Linked DNA regions of Lonchura striata. The protein of the gene in region 1 interacts with the protein of each later gene in a pairwise test. Links are inferred from orthologs where the notes say so. Each region holds a gene or a part of one and is shown on either strand. Other genes may lie near its edges.

Evidence for each region.
Region 2: the proteins of EEIG1 (region 1) and SKAP1 interact in binary tests that used the Homo sapiens proteins (3 or more experiments, as listed by UniProt). The two-hybrid records come from large-scale screens. The link is inferred for Lonchura striata from reciprocal best matches to the Homo sapiens genes EEIG1 and SKAP1.
Region 3: the proteins of EEIG1 (region 1) and SH3GL1 interact in binary tests that used the Homo sapiens proteins (3 or more experiments, as listed by UniProt). The two-hybrid records come from large-scale screens. The link is inferred for Lonchura striata from reciprocal best matches to the Homo sapiens genes EEIG1 and SH3GL1.

Annotation. Positions count from the first base shown.
Region 1 is NC_134624.1:777,450-784,781, reverse strand, and holds the start of EEIG1 (early estrogen-induced gene 1 protein), read left to right. Parts: upstream 1-4,331; 5' UTR 4,332-4,523; intron 4,524-6,224; 5' UTR 6,225-6,772; coding exon 6,773-6,918; intron 6,919-7,332. UniProt on the Homo sapiens protein: Key component of TNFSF11/RANKL- and TNF-induced osteoclastogenesis pathways, thereby mediates bone resorption in pathological bone loss conditions.
Region 2 is NC_134627.1:8,231,902-8,239,720, forward strand, and holds the start of SKAP1 (src kinase-associated phosphoprotein 1), read left to right. Parts: upstream 1-4,815; coding exon 4,816-4,858; intron 4,859-7,819. UniProt on the Homo sapiens protein: Positively regulates T-cell receptor signaling by enhancing the MAP kinase pathway. Required for optimal conjugation between T-cells and antigen-presenting cells by promoting the clustering of integrin ITGAL on the surface of T-cells.
Region 3 is NC_134630.1:6,027,675-6,035,266, forward strand, and holds the start of SH3GL1 (endophilin-A2), read left to right. Parts: upstream 1-4,588; 5' UTR 4,589-4,707; coding exon 4,708-4,752; intron 4,753-4,820; exon of another isoform or gene 4,821-4,832; intron 4,833-7,592. Other genes in the region: CHAF1A (chromatin assembly factor 1 subunit A), read right to left, coding at 400-456, 2,158-2,948, 3,166-3,214. UniProt on the Homo sapiens protein: Implicated in endocytosis. May recruit other proteins to membranes with high curvature.

The DNA.
Region 1 (7,332 bases):
CCAGATGCGTAGGTGATTAACCCGAGGCAGAATCCCAGCGCCAGCAGGGACAGTTTCTTTCACCTCTGTCACCTGAAATTCCAAATTAAAGGTTGCTGTGTCAAGGAGGAACCACAGACTTACAGTTGCTTCTGATGTATTTGGGGTAACAGCAGCATTTGTGGGTTGCAGTCAGTGGGACAGACCACGGCCACAACCAGCAATTCTCTTGTCCAGCACAACACTGATGGGATGGAAGCTGGGATACAGACACAGGATAAAGCTTGATAAACACAACAAGCCTTGAGGCAAAGCAGATTTCAAGTCTGCAGATTTTGGAAGGGGCAAACAAGATCCAGTTCCACCCACAGACCTCACAGAATGAAGCAGAGAGTTCTGCTGCACATTCCCAGAACACACTGAAGCAGGCATGGAAACCAGTAAACAAAAAAAGCCAGGCAGCTGGATTTTCAGGTCTAGCAACATTTTTGGGGAATGGAATCCACCGACTCCAGATTCCTGGGCTCCCTTTTATCAGTAACAGAATTCCCAGTGCTGGCAGGCCAGAAACCCACCGTGCAGGTGTGTCCTTTGCACATCCAACAGGAAACCCAGCCTGGCACAGAAAGTGAAACAGTTCCTGGCCTTTATGATGATGAGTTCAGTTAAATATGGAACAAGTGAAAAACACAAGCAGGTCAAAGTGCAGCTCACAGCCTGTTATTAAGCTGAGAAGTCACAAGCTTAGAGTAACTCCACACCATGGGATAATCCTATGCAATGGGGATAGGTACCCATTCCCCTCACAGGGTTTCCAGCTGCCTGCACGCTACAGCTGCTGTGGTGTCTGCACCCCCTGCCCCATTTTGGGAGCTCCCCAGCCAGGACCTGCCCCGGGTCCTGGGGAAGGCACCCACCCTCTGCTCCTTGGAGCATCCCACTTGCATCCCACTCACAGCTCCAAGAATGCATTTACAGCATAAAGTGACGTGTGGTAATCTCCTTTTTTTTTGGATGATGAGGCTGAAAGCTCATTAAGGCCATTACAGCAGAGGCGACAGGTGTAACAGGGGAGAACCATTACTGTGTTTATGCTGTTACAGCAACATGTGTAATTTACTTTTAAAACTTTAATCATTTGGCTGCCAGGACAAATGAATTGGCGTGATGATGCTTTCCAGAGGAAGATGCTGATGATGTAGTTTGCAGGGCTTGTGCATCTGGGATTCCCCTGGGATAAGAGATAGGATTTGAAGGCTCACCAAATGCATTATAGGATCTACCTCACTTCACCTCACTGAGTTTTGTCCCTCCTGCATTTATCTCACCTTGTTTCTCCACTGCTGCTTTATCTCTGTCCTCAAAGCAGAGAGGAGGCAAGACAAGGCATCTCTGTTGGTGCTGACTCTCAGAGCACAGCAGTCGTAGCCCTGGCCAGCCGGGCACACCTCTCCAGGAGAGCAGAGGTGAGGCCCAAACGTAACTGCAGAGCACAGACTGATAAAAATATCCCAGACTGATAAGACAGTGCCCTGAGCCAGCAAAAGTTGAGGAAGTGGTGGCGGCACTGGGGAGCGGCCTCAGGAAAGGCTTAGGTCAGGAAGAGCACAGGGCAGGGATGTGGCTGAGGCTCATGGAGCAGAGGTGAGGTGGGCACAGCCATAGAGAAATCCATAGGATGTGAGTCTGGGATGAGCAGAATCCATATCTATCAAAGTACCTTGTTAACACACATAGCCCCCTCTCCCCGCCATGGCCAGCGGATTGCACCTGAGCAGAAAATAATATCAAGCCAGAGGGATGGTGGATGGATGAAGACACCCTACACCCACATTCCCTCTGTGGGAGGCTGGGACTAACCCATCCCTTCTGTAAACAGGAGCACTGTCCCGTTTAAACATGTGAATTTCTCCAGAAACAATTATGCAGCATAAACACAGCAAAATCAACAGGGTGAATTTCGAACTAATAAAGATTTAATCTCTCAGTCATGAGACTGCGTTTGTTAGGAAAATACACATACCCCTGAGAATGCAGCTACGGTTGCTATACTACACACTGCTCAGCAGCTCACTGGGCATTCTTCCAAATCCATTTATTTTTAACATCAGTCACATTATTCAATTAATTATAAAAACACTGAGGTTTTCAAGAGATGTTTCTGATAAAACTGCAAAGTAAATATGCGTGAGAACAGCAAGGATTAAAGTGTCTGTAAACTTTAGCATTTGAGGCTGTTGCTATAAACAAGAGAAGTCCTCGAGAAGGTTATTTACCAGAGTGAATCATAGCAGATAACAGAGTCTCCTCCCACACACACACAGGGATCGTTTGTCCTTTACCTAGGGATGGAAGCAGAGCATTCACATGTCTGTCAGCCCTGTCAGCCATGTGCTGGGGCATGGGAGGTGTGAGAACTGGCCTGGATTCTTCAGATGCCTCTGGTATTTCAGCATCATATTTTGTAAATATCAAATATTTAGCAGGCTCTTTCCTAATAGGCTGGAAACAGAAATCAAAAAATGCCAGCCCATCTCCAGCAGTGCCTCAAAGCCTTGAAAACACCAGATAGGAATTTATGGAAGGATTCAAGCCTCACCTGCAAGAGCAGCCTATAAACCTTGCTGTTTCCTGGTGACTCCCTGTATGTCCTGTGATGATTTCACTGTACTAATACAAAATGTTTTCCCAGTCCAAAGTCTGTGTCAGCTTAACCTGGTAAGCAAAAATCGTAACAATGCATTTGGTTAGATCCAATTTTTCACTTTTATCCAAGAACATTTCTGTGTACTTTTCCTAGCAGACTCTTTTTTTTTTTTTTTTTCTTCCCAAGGTTCACATTGTGGTGGAATTATTTGATAGCTCTGATATTGTCTGCATAAGACGGCAGATTACAGGCAAGGAGTCTGGGCATCAAAGCCTGGCAGAGAGCAAGGACTCTCAGGCTTTCATCCAAGCTTTGCATATCAGCCTTGGGAACAGTTCCTCCTTATGAGCCTCAACTTCTCAGCCACAGAGGCTCTTGGGCAAACGCCTAAGTTTTAAATCTAGGCAAATCACGTTGATGATTGCAGCCTCCTTCAGGACAAGGAGAGACATTTTGTTCTGCTTGCCCTTAAACAATGGAATCCAGACTAACCAGGGATCCCAGCCGCAGCACTGGACACAGCAGCAGCACATAATAACAGGGAGCCGTGCTGATAAAGGGATGTGCCCCACTGCCTGCCACATCTCACATGTGGAGGGTGAGATTCCAGCTCTGGGCCCTGCCTCGTGCTGCTCCCCAGGGCTCTGTGGTACCAGGGCCTCGCTCCTGCTCCCAGGCAGCCCAGGCACTGCTGGCCCGACCCACAGCCTCTGCGGTATCCTGAGGGGACAGGATGGCCACACCGCTGAGCGGCCTGAGGAACCATACGCCTGCAGCCCATGGGACATGCTGATGAGAGGGATGTCACCCAGAGCTGCTGGGGCACTGGGACAAGCCAGGGGAAGAGCTCCTGGCTGTCAGGAGGATGCAGAGGTGACATCTGTCACCAAACCACAGAATGGGTCAGGTTGAAAGGGTCCGCAGTGGGTCATCTGGCTCTGTCTCCCTGCTCAAGTAGGGTCATCCCAGCCCACATGGCACAGGATTGTATCCAGACAGTTCTGGAATATTCTCAGTGAGGGAGACTCCACAACCTCTCTGGGCCAGTGAGCAGTCACTGCACAGGAAAGAAGTTCTTCCTTATGTTCAGGTAAAACTTCCTGGGCATTGCTTTCTGCCTATTGCCTGTTGTCCTTGTGATTGGCACCACTGACCTGAGCCTAACTTCATCCCCTTGGCACTCCACTTTAGGTATTTAAACACATTAATGAAGTCCCCTCTCAGTTATCTCTTCTTGAGGCTAAACAGGCCCACCTTCCTCAGCCTTTTCTCACAGCAGAGATGCACCAATTCCCCAGACATCCTTGTTGCCCTCCACTGGACCCACTCCGTATGTCTCACGTTAGAGATGACTGCCATCACCTCTGCCCAGGCAGGGACACCCCAGCGGCAGGCCCCTACCATCCGCTCAGCTCCCGTGCCAGCTGGACCAGCTCAGCCTGCAGAGGGGCTCCAAGCCCAGCGGCCCGAGTCCCGCTGAGGGGACACCGCTGACCCCGCTTCCCGCCCAGCCCCTCAGCCAGGGGGCGGGGCTTGTCCAAACCGACAGCTCTCTCCTCCAATCCCCGCGCTCTCTTCCCCGCCCCGTGCAGGATCAACCAATCACTGCCTCGCACCGCTCAGCCCGCCTCCTTGCTGCTATCCAATCGGACGGCGCCGCTCGCGTTTTCTCGTCTCGGGGGAGGGCGGGTGTTACGCGCTGTCGGTATTCCCGAAGCGCGGCAGCGCCGCTCTCCCCGCGCGCTGCCCACGTACCGGCTGCGCTATCGGCGTAGCGGCCGCAGTTGGCGTAGTGCGGGCAGAGGCGGCCGTGTCGGGGAGCGGCGGCCGCCGTGCGAGGAGCGGGCTGGAGGAGCGGGCAGGGCCGGGCAGGCACCGCGCCGGGACCGCGCCGCAGGTCAGTGGAGGGCGCTGGGAAGCGGGCTGAGACCTTCCGTAAGGCAGCTGGTGATGGGGGGCCGGGAGAGGGGTGAGATCGCGCTGCAGCTCGGTGCACGGGCTGGGAGAGTGCTGAGCCCGGCTGCAGCTCGGTGCGCGGGCTGTGGGGCCGGAGCTGGGCTGCGGCCCGGGCATGGCTCGGTGCTTGGTCCCTGGGGCTGGGCTGCGGGGCAGCCGGGGGTTCAGAGGGCCAAGAGGTGGACTAAGATCTCGGCACAGCTCAGTGCACAGCTTGGACAGAGAGCTGGGACCTGGGCAGAGCTCAGTGCCCGGCTGGGACCTGGGCACAGCTCCGTGCCCGGCTGGGACCTGGGCAGAGCTCAGTGCACAGCCTGGACAGAGAGCTGGGACCTGGGCACAGCTCAGTGCACAGCCTGGACAGAGAGCTGGGACCTGGGCACAGCTCAGTGCCCGGCTGGGACCTGGGCACAGCTCAGTGCCCGGCTGGGACCTGGGCACAGCTCAGTGCCCGGCTGGGACCTGGGCACAGCTCAGTGCCCGGCTGGGACAGAGAGCTGGGACCTGGGCACAGCTCAGTGCACAGCCTGGACAGAGAGCTGGGACCTGGGCACAGCTCAGTGCCCGGCTGGGACCTGGGCACAGCTCAGTGCTCGGCTGGGACAGAGAGCTGGGACCTGGGCACAGCTCAGTGCACAGCCTGGACAGAGAGCTGGGACCTGGGCACAGCTCAGTGCTCGGCTGGGACCTGGGCACAGCTCAGTGCTCGGCTGGGACCTGGGCACAGCTCAGTGCCCAGCTCGGGCAGGGAGCTGGGTCCTCAATACCATTCAGTGCATGACCCTGGAGTGCCAGGGGACAGGCTGTGACCTCACAGTAGCCAAGGCTGAGCCCTGGCAGCAGCTCGGCACAGGGACAGGTACTACTCGTGGTGTGGAGCATTGACCTGTCGTCCCCCACTCTGCTCCGAGGTGTCTGCAGGACAGCAGAACCCCGTGGAGGTGCCCGGGCCCTGGCAGAGCCAGCCGGGTTCTCCTGCAGCCACCGGGCAGGAGAGGGTCTTTAATCACCCACACAGGCAGCTCCTAGAATCGGTGGGGATTGTTTACTGCCCGGTGTTCATAACCTTGTCCTTTTGAGATGCTAATCAGCTCCTGCCTCCGTGGTTTAGGTGTTTTGTAAATGTGTAACGAAATCGCTGTCTGCAGCCCCAGATCTGAACCGAGCAGGGCACAGCTCTGTGCAGAGCCGGTGCCGGGGGAAGGCAGCATTCCCGGTGGGACTGGCCATTGGACAGCCAGATGACCTGATTCGGTTGTTATGCTGTGTAATCTGGAGCAGGCTGCTTGTTTTTTTCCCTCTCTGCTGCTTTCTCCATTTATAAGATACAGGTGCTAACACTTAGGGCTGGTTGGAAACGCAGGACAGAAACATATCTTTAATTTCTTGAGATGGATTTTCCTTCCTCTTATTAGACTGTGTGTTAGAATGATCTTGCGCTGTAGACTGCTTCTAAATATGATGACTGAAAATAGAGCAAATTTTTATTAGCTGCTTTGCAAAACAGAAATTACAAGGGGAATGACAACAGTGAAGCTTGCCCTAGGCAAAAAGGGGAAAGAGGATGTTGGGGCTGGGCTAATTGGGGCCATACCTCTTCAGACTGGAATGAGTCTGGACTGAATATTACCTATCCAAACAGGTTTTAGAGCAGGAGGAGGAGCCCAAGACTGGCTGGAACTAATTTACTCATTTCCCTCCCAAAGGCTGACCCAAAGACCCGTATCAGAGTTGCACAAGAGATAGAGACTGGAAGCTCTTTGAATGTGCTGCCTGCAGACTTAAGGCCTCTCCAGGGACTCGAGATGACTTCTCACAAGAGATGCTTTCAGGAGGGGTTGTGCTGAAGACAGAGCACTGCAGCCTCTAACTGGGACAGCTCCTGCTGGTCTGGAGCTGAGACCCAACTTCCCTCCCTCCCGTTTCCCTCGGAGATGTTGCAGAGATTTAATCTGACCTCTTCCTGCTCACCTGAAGCCTGCCGTGGCGATGATCCCACAGCCAGATCCGACCACCAAAGAGAAGAGAATCGTGCGTTTGAAGCTGGGCCGTCGTCGTAACTGAACTGGAATTTACTCCCTGCCTGTGCTCCCAGAACGACTGCCCTTCCTCTGCTTGTCTGTTTGTGCTGTGAGCCACTTCTCCCTGATCTTGTTTGGAATTCCTGAGCTTTCCTCGCTGAATTTGCCCATGGCTTTCCTGATGAAGAAGAAGAAATTCAAGTTTCAGACAAGTTTTACTCTAGAAGAGCTGACTGCTGTCCCCTTTGTCAATGGGGTTCTGTTCTGCAAAATCAGGCTGCTAGATGGAGGAGACTTTGCTAGTTTATCTAGCAGGTAAGACCCTGTCTGCAGACTTGCTGCCTGGCTGTGCTTCTTTCCCTGGTTATTTTTCCTTTGAGTGGTTTAGCATATGGCAACCACTTGCTTACCCCTTGATGGGAATTTAATAGTTCTGTTGTAGGGCCCCACATGCCATATCATTCTCCAGAGCAGGGGAAGTACGTAGCTGGAGAGCTCTGGACCTGGGTGGTGTTGGCTGATTTGAGCTGGATTGAATTTTTCAGAGATGAGGGGAGAGAGCGAGAGGTCACTCCCCTGAAAGGGGATTAAATCCTCTCTTCTCTTTTCCCCTCCTCCTTGCCCAAGTTCTCACAGACTGTTTCAAACCCTGTTCTGTATTGCCTTTATGCCTTACTTGAAACTCAACTCTTTAGGAAACTATGTCTAAGCAAATCAACCCTTCCCAAC
Region 2 (7,819 bases), on another chromosome or scaffold:
CCGATGGAATTCTGCTGGGCTCCAGGGACGGCTTTTCATCTTCCCTGGCCGGGAATGCAGCTCAAAATCCAGGAATTTCGGATTTTTATGGAATTCAGAGGGAATTCTCCCCACTTTTCCACCGGCCAGGCCTGGTTCTGAGGGAATCCTGAACATCCCAAATCCCAGATTTCTGCTTCCCGCTCTTATCCCTCCAAAATTCCGATTTTTGACGCCCTTTCCATGCGTTTTGAGGAGTCGGGCCCGGAAAGTGGAACCAGGCTTTGCTTTTAACAAAACCCTCCCGGCATCACGGAATATTCCCCGCCGGAAACTCCGACCCCAGCGATCACCCAAACCCCAAAAATTCCCATGGGAAGCTCCTCCCGGCAGGAATTTTTTCCTGTCAGGAGGCACGGAGCAGAAATTCCGTGGGAATAAAGATTTCACCTCCCACAAAATCGGGGTTTTCTTTGAGCCAGGTTTATTTTTTTTTGGAGATTTGGGAACGCCCTCCTGGGCTCAGGATTGGGATTTTTCCGGCGGGATGAGGCCAAAATTTGGGAATTTGGAGTCAGAACCCCAAATCTGCCCCGAATTCCCTCAGCCTGGGCCTGCTCTCCCTGCTCCCACAGGGAAGGGGAGGAGAGATTCCCTGGGGAATTCCCAGCTTTATTATCCATATTTTCCATATTCCCTGTATTTCCCAGCTTTCCCAGCTTTATTATCCACAATTTCTATATTCCCCATATTTCTCAGCTTTCCCTGCCTTCCCCACTTTCCCAGCTTTATTATCCATGTTTTCCATATTCCCCAGTTTTCCCAGCTTTCCCAGCTTTATTATCAATATTCCCTGTATTCCTCAGCTTTTCCAGCTTTTCCAGCTTTATTATCCACATTTTCCATATTCCCCGTATTTCCCAGCTTTCCCAGCTTTATTATTCATATTTTCCATATTCCCCGTATTCCTTGTATTTCCCAGCTTTTCCAGCTTTATTATCCATATTTTCCATATTCCCCGTATTCCTTGTATTTCCCAGCTTTTCCAGCTTTATTATCCATATTTTCCATATTCCCCATATTTCTCAGTTTTCCCAGCTTTATTATCCATATTTTCCATATTCCCTGTATTCCCCATATTTCCCAGCTTTCCCAGCTGTCCCAGCTTTTCCATATTTTTCATATTTCCCAGCTTTTCCATATTTCCCAGCTTTTCTAGCTTTCCCAGCTTTTCTAGCTTTTCTAACTTTTCCATGGAACACTGGCCTGGCCTTTCCCAGCCCTTTTCCAGTCTGGAATTTCCATAGAACGTTGGCCTGGCCTTTCCCAGCCCTTTTCCAGCCTGGAATTTCCATGGAATGCTGGCCTGGCCTTTCCCAATCCCGGGGCCAGGAGCTGCGGAATTCCAGCGCCATGGAATGGTTTGGGTGGGAAGGAGCTGGAATTCCACCCAGCCCCATCCAGGGACAATTCCAGCCTGGCCCGAGGCAATTCCTGGGACAATTCTGGGACAGATTCCCTGGAAATTCCAGCCCAGCCCATTGCAGGGAGCAATTGTTGGGAAAAACAATCCTAAAAGGCATCAGGGTTTGATTCCATCCCAAACCCTGAGCAGGGCTGTCCTTTAGGAATTCCCCACTGGATTCAATCCCAAATTCTGAGCAGGGCTGTCCTTCTCTCATTTCCCCCCCAATATTCCCAATATTCCCAGTGGGACCAAGGCTCTGCCTCTCCCATTTTCCTCCTGATATTCCCAATATTCCCAGTGGAAACAGGGCTCTGCTTCTCCCATTTTCCCTCCAATATTCCCAGTGGGAACAGGGCTCTGCCTCTCCCATTTCCCCCCCAATTTTCCCCAATATTCCTGATAGGAAAAGGGCTCTGCTTCTCTTGTTTTCCCCCCGATATTCCCAATATTCCCAGTGGGAACAGGGCTCTTCCTCTCCCATTTTCCCCCCAATTTTCCCAAATATTCCCGATATTCCTGACATTCCCAACAGGACCAGGGCTCTGCCTCTCCCGTTTTCCCCCCAATTTTCCCAAATATTCCCGATATTCCTGACATTCCCAACAGGACCAGGGCTCTGCCTCTCCCGTTTCCCCCCAAATATTCCCGATATTCCCGACATTCCTGACAGGACCGGGGCTCTGCCTCTCCGTTTTCCCAGCTCCGTTTCCATGGTTACTCCCAATCCCGCCTCCGTTTTTCGGGAAATCGCATTTCCCAAGGATGCCAGCCGGGCTCAGCCGGGCCCTGCGAGGATCCAGGTGGGAATTTTCTCCCGTGGGGAGGAGGTTTTGAATCCGGAATCCCCAAATTTGGGATGCTGCGGGCACAGGACGGTGCCAGGCTCCCCCCTCTCCTTCCCAGCTGACCCCAAAGCCAAATCTGTGACCGTTCCAAAATCCAAAAATTGAAGTGGTGAGGAAAAAGAGGGAAGGAAAAAAAAAAAAAAAGGTCATTTCCTTGGAAATTGGGAAAATCCTTTCCCTGAGACCCTACCTGAGATATTTTTATTTTCTGTTATTTTTATTTCCTGCCTTTAATTCCCTAAATCCCACCTCAGGAGACCCTACCTGGCCAGGAGATTTGAGGAGCAGCTTTTGACAGGGAAAAAAATCCAAAATTATCTCCCAAAAAAGGTTTGGAAATCCTTAAATCCCAACCATACCTGTCAGGGAGATTTGAGGAGCAGCTTTTGACAGGGAAAAAATCCAAAATTATCTCCCAAAAAAGGCTCCTAAATCCCTAAATCCCAACCATACCTGTCAGGGAGATTTGAGGAGCAGCTTTTGACAGGGAAAAAATCCAAAATTTTTCCAGAGAAAAGGCTCAGAATTCCCTAAATTTGAGCCCCACCTGGACAGGACATTTGAGGAGCAGCTTTTGACAAGGAAAAACCCAAATTTTGCCCCAAAAAAGGCTCAGAATTTCCTAAATCCCAACCATACCCAGCCAGGACATTTGAGGAGCAGCTTTTGACAAGGAAAAACCCAAATTTTGCCCCAAAAAAGGCTCAGAATTTCCTAAATCCCAACCATACCCAGCCAGGACATTTGAGGAGCAGCTTTTGACAAGGAAAAACCCAAATTTTGCCCCAAAAAAGGCTCAGAATTTCCTAAATCCCAACCATACCCAGCCAGGACATTTGAGGAGCAGCTTTTGACAAGGAAAAACCCAAATTTTGCCCCAAAAAAGGCTCAGAATTTCCTAAATCCCAACCATACCCAGCCAGGACATTTGAGGAGCAGCTTTTGACAAGGAAAAACCCAAATTTTGCCCCAAAAAAGGCTCGAGGCCCCCCAAAGGCCAGCGGAGCGGCTCCTGTGATATTCGGATTTTCCACCTCTGCTCGGGGCCCCCGGGCTGCGTTTCCTGTGTTCGAGGCCTCAGCATCCGCTGCCAAATCTCCATTTTTGGGGCCGTTTCGGTGCTAAAGCTGGGCCGGGCTGCAGGGGGGAGGGGCAAACCCTGATTTTCCCACCCGGCACAGAAAGGGTTAAAAAAATCCGTTGGGAAATGCCGGGTGGGAAAGTTTGGGAATGACGTGGCAGCGACAGCTCCGAGGTTTTGGGTCCCAGATCTGGAGAATCCCCCGGTGCTCCCTCTGTCCCCAAAGGAAAAAAAAACCCCAAAATCCCAAAATCCAAAAAAATCCAGCAGGGAATTTTCATGGAAATTTGCCTTTTGTGGGCCCTTCTCCGTAAAATCACCCTCCTTGAAAAACGGGATTGCTGAGGTGCAAATCCCAACCCAAAATGGCCCCAAAATATCCCCAAAAGGACTCTGGAGCTGCTTTGGGGTTTCTCCTTCGGCTCCACGACCCCAAATCCCGACCCCAAAAACTCGGGATCCCCCCGGCACCTGCTCCTTGTCTGCTTTGTGCTGAGAAATGAAAAAGAAATTGAATTTTTTCCTTTATTTCTTGGAAAAGCAGGGCCCAAAACACCCGGGAGCACCTGGAGGAGCAGCTCTGGATTTCCAGGAGTATTTCCATGTGGAAATTTCCAAATTTAGAAGTATCTTTCCCGTATTTCCACATGGAAATTTCTGAATTTCCAGGGATATTTCCCACATTTCCCTATGGAGGAGCATCTCCATATTTCCGTGGATATTTTCCATATTTCCACATAGAAATCTCCAAATTTCCAGGGATATTTCCCACATTTCCTTATGGAGGAAATCTCAATGTTTTCAGGAGTATTTCCTTTCAGAAATCTCCCACATTTCCAGGAGTTTTTCCATCTTTTCCCTATCCCAGGTGATTTTTTTTCCCAACCCAACCTCTTTTCCACGCAGAAAATGGGAAAAGGGGAAATCTCATCCCAGATCATCCCCTTTTTTCCACCATTGGAATTTTTGGGGTGGCAAACCTGGAAAAAATCCCAGTTTTGGGGGCAGGAACAGCCCCAGGGAAACTCCAGATGAGCTCTGGGAGGAAATTCCAGCCGGGAATTCCAATTCAGCTTTTCCTCTCTGGAATTTTTGGGGTGGCAAACCTGGAAAAATCCCAATTTTTCGGGCAGGAACAGCGCGAGGAAGCTCCGGGAGGAAATTCCAGCCGGGAATTCCAGGCGGAGCTCCTTGGCTGGAGTTCAGCTTTCCCCACCGGAATTTTTGGGATGGCCCAGGACAGCTGGGAAGGATCCCGGGGATCCGCTGGGGTTGAAGGCGAGGAGGAGGAAGCCAAACCCCAAAGGTTCCTCCTCGTTTTTGGGGTGTCCCCGCCCTCGCGGCTTCCTCCCCGTCACCCCAGAGCCGGCGCGGCCCCGGTGGGACGCGATCCCGAGGATCCCGAGGATCCCGTGGATCCCGTGGAGGATCCCATGGATGCCATGGACGCCCCGATCCCAGAGGAGATCCGGCGGCTCCTGGAAGGTGACGGATCCCTCCTCGCCCCGTGGGCAGCGCGCTGGGGCTGGCCGGGGTTGGGGTGGCTTTTCTGGGCACCTTTGGGCTCTTCAGGGGTCCTGGGACCTCCCCGGCCCTGACCCCAAAATTTGGGGGCTGTGGGGCCTCCCTGATCCCAAAAATTTGGGGGTTGTGGGGCCTCCCTGATCCCAAAAATTTGGGGGTTGTGGGGCCTCCCTGACCCAAAAATTTGGGGGTTGTAGGGCCTCCCTGATCCCAAAAATTTGGGGATTGTGGGGCCTCTGTGACCCCAAAAATTTGGGGGTTGTAGGGCCTCTGTGACCCCAAAATATGGGGGTTGTGGGGCCTCTGTGACCCCAAAATTTGGGGGTTGTGGGGCCTCCCTGACCCAAAAGTTTGGGGATTGTGGGGCCTCCCTGATCCCAAAATTTGGGGGTTGTAGGGCCTCTGTGACCCCAAAAATTTGGGGGTTGTGGGGCCTCCCTGACCCAAAAATTTAGGGGTTGTAGGGCCTCTGTGACCCCAAAAATTTGGGGGTTGTGGAGCCTCCCTGACCCAAAAATTTGGGGGTTGTGGGGCCTCCCTGACCCAAAAATTTGGGGGTTGTAGGGCCTCTGTGACCCCAAAAATTTGGGGGTTGTGGGGCCTCCCTGACCCAAAAATTTGGGGGTTGTAGGGCCTCTGTGACCCCAAAATTTGGGGGTTGTAGGGCCTCCCTGACCCAAAAATTTGGGGGTTGTGGGGCCTCCCTGACCCCAAAATTTGGAGGTTGTGGGGCCTCCCTGACCCAAAAATTTGGGGATTGTAGGGCCTCTGTGACCCCAAAATTTGGGGGTTGTAGGGCCTCTGTGACCCCAAAAATTTGGGGGTTGTGGGGCCTCCCTGACCCAAAAATTTGGGGGTTGTGGGGCCTCCCTGATCCCAAAAATTTGGGGGTTGTGGGGCCTCCCTGACCCAAAAATTTGGGGGTTGTGGGGCCTCCCTGACCCAAAAATTTGGGGATTGTAGGGCCTCTGTGACCCCAAAATTTGGGGGTTGTGGGGCCTCTGTGACCCCAAAATTTGGGGGTTGTAGGGCCTCTGTGACCCCAAAAGCTTGGGGGTTGTGGGGCCTCCCTGACCCAAAAATTTGGGGATTGTGGGGCCTCCCTGATCCCAAAAATTTGGGGGTTGTGGGGGCTCTGTAACCCCAAAAATTTGGGGGTTGTAGGGCCTCTGTGACCCCAAAATTTGGGGGTTGTGGGGCCTCCCTGACCCAAAAATTTGGGGGTTGTAGGGCCTCTGTGACCCCAAAAATTTGGGGATTGTGGGGCCTCCCTGATCCCAAAAATTTGGGGGTTGTGGGGCCTCCCTGACCCAAAAATTTGGGGGCTGTGGGGCCTCCCTGACCCAAAAATTTGGGGGTTGTAGGGCCTCTGTGACCCCAAAAATTTGGGGATTGTGGGGCCTCCCTGATCCCAAAAATTTGGGGGTTGTGGGGCCTCCCTGACCCAAAAATTTGGGGGCTGTGGGGCCTCTGTGACCCCAAAAATTTGGGGGCTGTGGGGCCTCTGTGACCCCAAAAGCTTGGGGGTTGTGGGGCCTCCCTGACCCAAAAATTTGGGGGCTGTGGGGCCTCTGTGACCCCAAAAATTTGGGGGTTGTGGGGCCTCTGTGACCCCAAAAATTTGGGGATTGTGGGGCCTCCCTGACCCAAAAATTTGGGGGTTGTGGGGGCTCTGTGACACCAAAAATTTGGGGGTTGTAGGGCCTCTGTGACCCCAAAATTTGGGGGTTGTGGGGCCTCCCTGATCCCAAAAATTTGGGGGTTGTAGGGCCTCTGTGACCCCAAAAATTTGGGGGCTGTGGGGCCTCCCTGGCCCTGACCCCCAGGAGAATTTGGGGGTGACCTTGAGGAGAATTTTGGGATTGTGGGGCCTCCCTGACCTCAGACATTCCCAGATTTCCTGAACCCTTTCCCATTCCCAGATTTCCTGCCCCTTCCCAGGCCCAGCTTTCTTTCCCAGGTCCAGATTTCCTAAACCCTTTCCCAGCTTTCTTCTCCCTTCCCAGATTTCCTAAACCCTTTCCCAGATCCAGGTTTCCTGACTGTTCCCAAGTTTCCTAAACCCCTTCCCGGTTTCCTAAATCGCATTCCCAGTTTTCCTAAATCCTTTCCCAAACCCACTTTCTGTCTCCAAGGCCATGTATCCCTGATTTTCCTGCCATTCCTGGATTTCCTGCCCTTCCCAAATTTTCTAAATCCCTTTCCCAGTTTTGTTCCCCTTCCCAAACCCACTTTCCCTCTCCACGATTTTCCCAGCCGTTCCCACATTTCCTTCCCCTTCCACATCCATTTTCCCTCTCCAAGGCCGCGTATCCCCAATTTCCCCATTCCCATTCCCGGATTTCCTTCCCCTTCCCACCCCCATTTCCCCCTCCAAGGCCGCCTATCCCATTTTTCCCATTCCCACATTTCCTTCCCCTTCCCACCCCCATTTCCCCCTCCAAGGCCGCCTATCCCATTTTTCCCATTCCCGGATTTCCTTCCCCTTCCCAATCCCATTTCCCCCTCCAAGGCCGCCTATCCCACTTTTCCCATTCCCATTCCCGGATTTCCTTCCCCTTCCCACCCCCATTTCCCCCTCCAAGGCCGCGTATCCCACTGTTCCCATTCCCATTCCCGGATTTCCTTCCCCTTCCCACCCCCATTTCCCCTCTCCAAGGCCGCGTATCCCGCTGTTCCCATTCCCATTCCCGGATTTCCTTCCCCTTCCCACCCCCATTTCCCCTCTCCAAGGCCGCCTATCCCGCTGTTCCCATCCCCATTCCCACATTTCCTTCCCCTTCCCACCCCCATTTCCCCCTCCAAGGCCGCCTATCCCGCTGTTCCCATTCCCATTCCCGGATTTCCTTCCCCTTCCCAATCCCATTTCCCCTCTCCAAGGCCGCCTATCCCATTTTTCCCATTCCCGGATTTCCTTCCCCT
Region 3 (7,592 bases), on another chromosome or scaffold:
TCCATGAGTGGCAGCAGAATGAGGGAGCTTGAGGAGCTGCATCCTAGCAAACACAACCTGGAGCTTGAGCATTCCCAGTGGTGGCATCCAGTGGTGACATTCTCTGGGAAGCCACAGACACAGTGGCTCCACTTGCCTCGTGTATTAATAAAAACAAAACCTAAATTTTTAGGGCTTCAGAGTTTCTAATTTCTTCCCAAAGAGCCCCAGACGCAGCCAGGGCTCCACTCAGGAGCTTTGGAAAGAGGCAAGCACTTTAACTGCTTGCATTAAAGGTCCTTCCACGCTCCTCAGGGTGAGGAAAAATGGCAAAAGAGATGTTCCAGCTGGGCTGAGATAAAAGGCAAAGGCCTTGGTCGGCTCCTCAGGGGAGGTTTGGGTGTCAGGGAAATGCCTTACTCTTTGCAATCTCAGCTTCTCCTTCTCTGCTGAACTTCTGTGGAATTTCTGAGGTACCTGGAATTACAAAATGCAAGTTTTAGAGGAGATCCTGCTCCTGCCTTCCCAGCCTGAGTGACACCGGGCCGCTCCTGCAGATCACAGCCAGTCACTCCAAATTCCCCCAGAGCAGGGAATGAGGACAAAACTTGGGAATTTCCAATCTCCCCATTCCCATCCCAGGGCTCCTGCTCCCATGAACAAACCCCTCAGGTCCCCTCAGCAAGGGAACACCACGTGCACAGCACCCAGGGGAGCTGCTCTGAACCACAGGGGACATTTCAATATGGCAAACTCGCTTCCTTCCAGCTAAAATTGGGTTTGTTTGGGTTTTTTTTTTTCTTGGCCTCCACCTATCTTGCTGTGATATTTAGTATTTAGCTGTAATTTTATGAATACAAGGAGTGTTTTCCACATTTTTACAATTTCTTCTTGCCATCACAGTCCACTTGATCTTCCACCAGGAACAGCTCACTGACCCTAAATTCCAAACAGGGCACACTTCCCGTTTTTCTTTTATTTATGGGGGAAAGAAAAAGGTGGTTTATGCTTAAGATCATTGCTCATAGACTGGTTAAAGATTGTCAATATTTCAGCACACTGTGACTTGATTGACTGGATCCCCCCCTCCTCCTCCTGCCATTCACAGCATCACATTGTGAAATTGTGATTAACAGGCTAACACAGCCCAACTGCTTTATTTTCTATATTTAGCTGCCATAAAACAGGAGTTCTGTCAAGTGAGGGCTTCAGCTCCTCAGAGCTGCTTCCTCCCAGGAAAACAAACCTGCCAGGACTCGCAGCTGCACAGCTTGGGGTGCAGCCCCTCATTTTGGGGAGCAGCAGACGAGCAAATCCAGCCCCACTGGCAGTACTGGGTTACACCAAGATTGCTTTTTGTTGTTCTGCTACACTGGAAATACTTCATGCCTGCTTGAGTCTGTTTATTTTAGGGGTGGAAGACTGAGAGTTTTCAGAGAGGAAGAATTGATCGCTTGACTTGATAGACACAACGAAAGGACTGGGAGAACCATCCCCGTGGTGGTGCTGCTGCTCTTGGAAGCTTCTCTGTCCAAACTGCCCCAAAAATCAGAGTGTTTGGGGGCCTCCTGCTGAAGCAGAGCTGCTAAACTGAAACTCAGGTGAACAAAAACCCCCTCATCCAGAGGTTTTTCATAGAATCAGAATGCTTTGGGTTGGGAGGGCCCTTAGAGCCCATCCATGGGGCATTTCCACTGTGCCAGGCTGCTCCAATCCCCACCCAGCCTGGCCTTGGGCACTGCCAGGGATGAGGCAGGGCAGCTGCTCTGGGAAATCTGTGCCAGGGCTTTTCCATGGCAGCTGCAGGAAATTCAGAGCTGGAAAAAACATCTGCACTGGCTGTGCTGGGGGAACATCCTCACAGGAATCCCAGCAGCTCGGAGGGGGATGAAACAGAGCTTGGGAAAAAACACCTAAAGTACAAAACTGCTGCTCCCAAAACACCAAGTGTCAAGTGGGTATTCCATTAAAGAAATGTAAATCCAGCAGCAGCCAGAAGCAGAGAGAATCAAACCCTTGAGCTGCAGGATTTAAAGACTCCAAAGGGCAACAAATCAGTAATCAACCACCACCACCTTCCCAACGCTCCTCACTGCCCCACTCAACCTCCTCCCCACAATCCCAGCAACCCAAACGTTGCACCACAGCAACTTGCACCCCAAACCAGAGCAGACCAACCTTCCTGGCAGGTGTGGAGGCAGCCAGAGGAATGCTGCTGCCCTTGGTCTGTGCCAGGAGCTCGGGGGAGCTCCCGGAGCTCAGTGAGGAGTTGGTCAGTCCCGAGTCTCCCTCGTGGGACGACTCTAGGGCCTCGCTCTCCGAGGCGGTGCTGCCATCCAGAGAGGCCACCTGGGGGGATTTCAGGCTCATGATGTCCTCCAGCAGCACCACGGGCACCTTCCCCTCAAAAAGCACATCCTTCAGTTCACCTGGAGTGCCCTTCCTGCCTGCCACGTCCTTGCAGGCCGTGAGGCCGGAGCAGGGCTGGCTCCCAGCTCCCAAATCCTGCTCTGCCTTGGCTGCAGCTGCGCAGGGCCCCTCAGTCTGCGTGGAGTCACCTGTTGGGCTGCTCTGCGAGGAGCTCAGGCAGCTCAGCTCCTTTCCTATGGTGCCATTGCTGACAGCAGCTCTAGAATCCACAGCCTCCTGCTCCGTGCCATCCCCGAGTCCGTGGGCAGAGCCCTTGGAGAGGTCAGGAACATCCCCGGGGTCACTCGTGTCACCTCCTGGGTTTTTCTGGATAAAATGGTCCAATGGACCTTTTCCATTCATGAGTTTTGGAGGCAAATTCCCATCTGAGCTCAGCTGGCAGTCATTCTCCACATCGTCCAGGGAGGCACCTGAGGCATCCAGGGAGGGATCCTTGCTGGGAACAAAAGCACTCGGGGAGCTCTTGACTTTTTTGACCTCTGGATTCACATCGAGTTTTTCCTTTGGCACAGGATTGAGGCGCTTGAAGGGCAGCCGAGCTGCAACAACAACACCAGGTTAGAGCCACGAGGTGACAAAGGGTTTCATTCATTTTTAAGAATAAGACTGAGATAAGCCACTTAGAGATGCTTTAATCACAGCCAAGCCAATCCCAAAACAATCCCATAAAACCCATTTGTGCAGCCAATGTATTCCACAAAATCACATCTGAGATGTTCTTGCTAAAACCGTGCTGGATGAGAGACACTCCCTTACCTTGGACGAGCTTCCGTGGAGGAACAGCAGCTTTGTCTCTGCACTCCATGGCTACGGGAGAAAACAACAAATCAGCACCCGGGGCTTTCTCTGAGACAGCTGAGGCCGAGCCCAGCAGCTCTCCCAGGGCCGGCGAGGGAGGACAAAGGGGTCCCACTGTCACCCCCGAGCCACCAGCTCCCAGCAGCCGCAGCCTCCTCCTGGCTGGGCAGAGCAGGAACGTCCCCAGGAGGCCCCGAGGAGAAGCGAGGAGGAAATTCCTCCCTGTGAGGGCGGCCAGGCCCTGGCACAGCGAGCCCAGAGCAGCTGCGGCTGCCCCTGGCAGTGCCCAGGGCCAGGCTGCATCACCCCGGCGCAGCACACAGCGTCCCTACCCACGGCAGGACGAGCTTTCGGATCCCTCCCCACCCAAACCGGTCCGTGACTCCCCGAGCGAGGCTGCGGGGCGGGCCGGGGCCCAGCCCCGGGGCGCGGCGGCAGCTCCGGCACCTCCTTTGTTACCCGGGGCAGGCCCCGCGCACCCCCGCGGCCCAACCGCCGCCGGAAACACCTCGCGCCCCGGCCGCGCCGCGCCCCGCGGGCTGCGCCCTACCTGCGGCGGCGGCCGGCGCGGCTGGCGGCGGTGCCGGCCGGCCCGTGAGGCGGCGCGGCCCGCGCAGCGCCCGCGGCTCCGGGCCCGGTCCCGCCCGGCCCGTCCCGCTCGTACTTGGCGGGAGCCGGGGCGACCCCGCGTCCCGCGCCGCTGATTGGCGGAGCGCGCCCCACGTGACCCGCCCGGCCACGCTCCCCCGCGGCGCCTCGCCTCTCGGTTGGTCGCCGCCGTCAGCGCCGCTGATTGGCGGAGGGGGGTGTCGGTCCGGCGCGCTGCGGGCGCTGATTGGGCGGTTTTGTAAAGGGCCGGCGGGGCGCCGCTGGGTGCCGGGGCTGGGCCCGAGGGATGCCCGCTCACCGGGCGGGAACGGCGCTGCGGCGGGCCGGTCCCGGGCCGGAGGAGCCTGTCCGCAGCACCGGGAGGAGAGGGTGGAGCCAGCACTGCCGCCCCTCGCGCTACTACGGGCATCGAGCCACCGCGCGAAATGGCGGCGGGACCAGCGGCCAATAAGCGCGCCGCTGTCGCGAGGGATGCTGGGAGCTGTAGTTTTCCATTTGGAGCTCTGTCGCCCCATTACTATAGCGGGGGTCCCGGCACCGCCGTCCCCGTGCGGCGCACCCGGTCCGCTCCCGGCGGGCGGTGCTTCGTCCGTCACGAGAAATCCACGGCTGCGCCACCGCCGTTCCCCGCCACGAGCGCCCGTCGCGCGTGTCGCGACAGAACGGCTCTCTCGGCTCCGCCCGGCCGGCAGGGGGCGCGCCGGCCCCGCGCGGCGCTCCGGCCGCGCCGCTCGCTGGTGGCGGCGGCCGGGGGCGGCGGCGGAAGCGGCGGCGGGGACGGGCCGGGCCGGGCTGGGACGGGCGGAGCGTCCTGAGGCTCCCGAGGCTCCCGCCGCCCCCAGCGCCAGGTCCCGCCGCCCGCAGACCGGGCCAGGCACCGGCACCGGCACCATGTCGGTGGCGGGGCTGAAGAAGCAGTTCTACAAAGCGACCCAGGTGAGACACCGGCACCGCGCGCCCGCTCCCGCCGCCGCTGCGCTGCGGCCGGGCCGATCATCCCTTACCGGTCCGGAGAACCCATCCCGGCCGCTGCTGCCCCGGCGCTGCGCGCTCCCCGCCGTTATCCCGGTGCTGGTCCCGCCGGGCATCCCCCGGTACCCGCCGGTGCCCAGCCTGGCACCCCCCGGGATCCCGGGCTCGTACCTCCCGGTTCTCGGTGTGATCCCGGGGCTCGGTGCGGGCCGTGAGCGGAGCCGGGACCCCCGGGCGGGGCTCGGTGCGGGGAGCCGTTCTCCCGGTGGCACCGGGGAGGGGACACGGGCAGGGAATCGGCTTCGCGGCGGTGACACCTGGGGGTCACTGGGGGTGTTTCCCCCTCCCCAAAACCCGCCCGCACAACCGGGACGGATCCAGCCTTAAACCGGCCGGGAGAGGCGGAGGAAGCGCCGGGAGCAGCGGCCCCGGTAACCCCGGTAACCCCGGCGGCGGCCTCGGGAAGCTCCCGGTTCCTGCAGAGCGGCTGGAGCGGGAGGGAAAAGGGCTGGGAAAAGCTCCAGAGGTTCGGGAATCGCAGCCAGGCTCGAGGAGTTGGTGCGGTGCCCTTGGAGCTCAGCCCTGGGAGCGCCCAGCGCCGGGCTTGGAGCAGCCCCGGACGGAGGAATGGGATTTTCCATCAGCTGCTCCACAATTCCATAATTCCGTGTGGGAACGGGCCTCCAAGAGGCTTCACAAACTCCTTTTTCCTCCCTCAGAGGAAGCAATGGCCATTCCCAAGCCTCCCCAGCAGAATTCTCCTTCCCACCGCCTCCCGTCCGCCGCTGGGAGGTTTTGTGGATGCGTTTTGGGAAGGGTTCAGGAATCGCAAATTCCCCCTCTGCTCCTGCTGCTTTCCTGCCCCTGCTTTCAATTCCAGATAAATTTGGCACGGATGGTGTTTTCCATCGCTGAGCTTAAACCCTTTCAGTTCATCCCACCCCTGTGTGCGACATGTGTCGCCTCCTTCCTCGGCTCCGTTTCCCCAAATCCGTTTTATTTACCCAGCAAAGCAAAAAGAACAAATTCCTGAGGTCATCCTCCACCCTCCTTTCCCACTGAACCCGTCGTGGGGTGGTTTTTATGCTGTTTTTCCTCAACTTCCACGGGGAAAGGTCATGCTGGGGACTGGGAGTGGGAGGATTTTGCTGGCCTGGATGTGCTGTGGTGGCGTCAGGAGGTGATTCAGGACTAACACGTTCCTAAGCCCCAAAATATCATTTTAAGCCCCAGATGAAACCATTTTTTGGAGGAATTACAAATTCTTCCAGAGGTGCTACCACCCCTTGCAGTGTCCACGACTTAGAAATGCTCTGGCTGGAAACTGGGAGTCACTGGTTCCAGTTTGGCCATTTTTTCTTGTCTCTTCCTCCCTTCCTTCTCTTTTCCCCCCTTTCTCCCCTCTGGTCCCACTCAGCCCTTGGCTGAAGGAGGGGAGGATTAGTTATTTTTTGGCTCCCTTCAAACCATCAGACTCTGCCAAAGCCCAACATGTGGAAGATCTTTCCTAAAATATTACGTTTTGTTCCACGTCTGTCCTTCATTGAAGGCAATCAGAGCCAGGAGTGGGGTCTGCAGGGACCCCAAAGATTTGGGATCCCTGTTTAGGATCCAGAGGGAGCAGGGCTTGGCTCGTGGGCCCCATCCATGTGATTTTTCCAAGCCCACGTCTCCCCTGGGTGAGGCAGCCCACATGCAGGAGAGAGCTTGGAGTATCCTGGAAAAAAAAAAAAATAAAATAATCTGAGTCGTGCTGGCAAATGGTGGAGATGGGGAACAGCTCTGAGTGTGTCCAGAACAGGTTCTGCCTGTTCACAGCAAACTGTTCCCTAAAAAAAAAATAAAAAAAAAAAATAAAGAAAGCTGGAGAAAACATCCTGAGGAAGGGGGAGAAACAGCAGCAGCAGCTTGGAGCTGGGAACAGGGTGGGAAGTCCCTGCCTGGTCCAGGGTTTCATCCAGCCTGGAATTCACAGGGACCTCCTGGTGTTGTAACAGCTTGGTTTGCACCCTTTGGGTTTTGTACAAACTGCTGGAAATCCTAAAATCCTGCAGATCTTCCCAGGCAGTGGGCAGGACAGGCTGCTGCTCCGGGGGGGATCCTGAGGGAATCTGGGGGTGCCAGCAGCAGGGCTGGAGGGAGGAAACGGCCTCAGTGAGGCTGAAATCTGATATTAAAGCAAATTTTTTCCATGGAAAAGGTGCTCAGGCATTGGAACAGGCTGCCCAATGGAGTCGCCATCCCTGAAGTGTTCAAAAACCAGGTGGATGTGGCACTTGGGGACACGGTGGTGAACCTGGGCTGGACTCAGTGGCCCTAAAGCTCTTTTCCAAGCTCACCCATTCCACAATTCCACATCCCAGCCCTGCCTGGGTCACGCTCAGCCAGCAGCAGGAACAGCCCAGGAGCTTTTTGGGGTCAGGGGAGTGCAGGGATGGGATTGTGCTGCCCTTCCCAGGAGGTTTTGGGGTCAGGAAATGCAGGGATGGGTTTGTGCTGCCCTTCCCAGGAGGTTTTTGGGGTCAGGGGAGTGCAGGGATGGGTTTGTGCTGCCCTTCCCAGGAGTTTTTGGGGTCAGGAAATGCAGGGATGGATTTGTGCTGCCCTTCCCAGAGCCCAGGAGCTTTTTGGGGTCAGGAAATGCAGGGATGGGTTTGTGCTGCCCTTCCCAGGAGGTTTTTGGGGTCAGGAAATGCAGGGATGGGTTTGTGCTGCCCTTCCCAGAGCCCAGGAGCTTTTTGGGGTCAGGAAATGCAGGGATGGGTTTGTGCTGCCCTTCCCAGGAGGTTTTTGGGGTCAGGAAA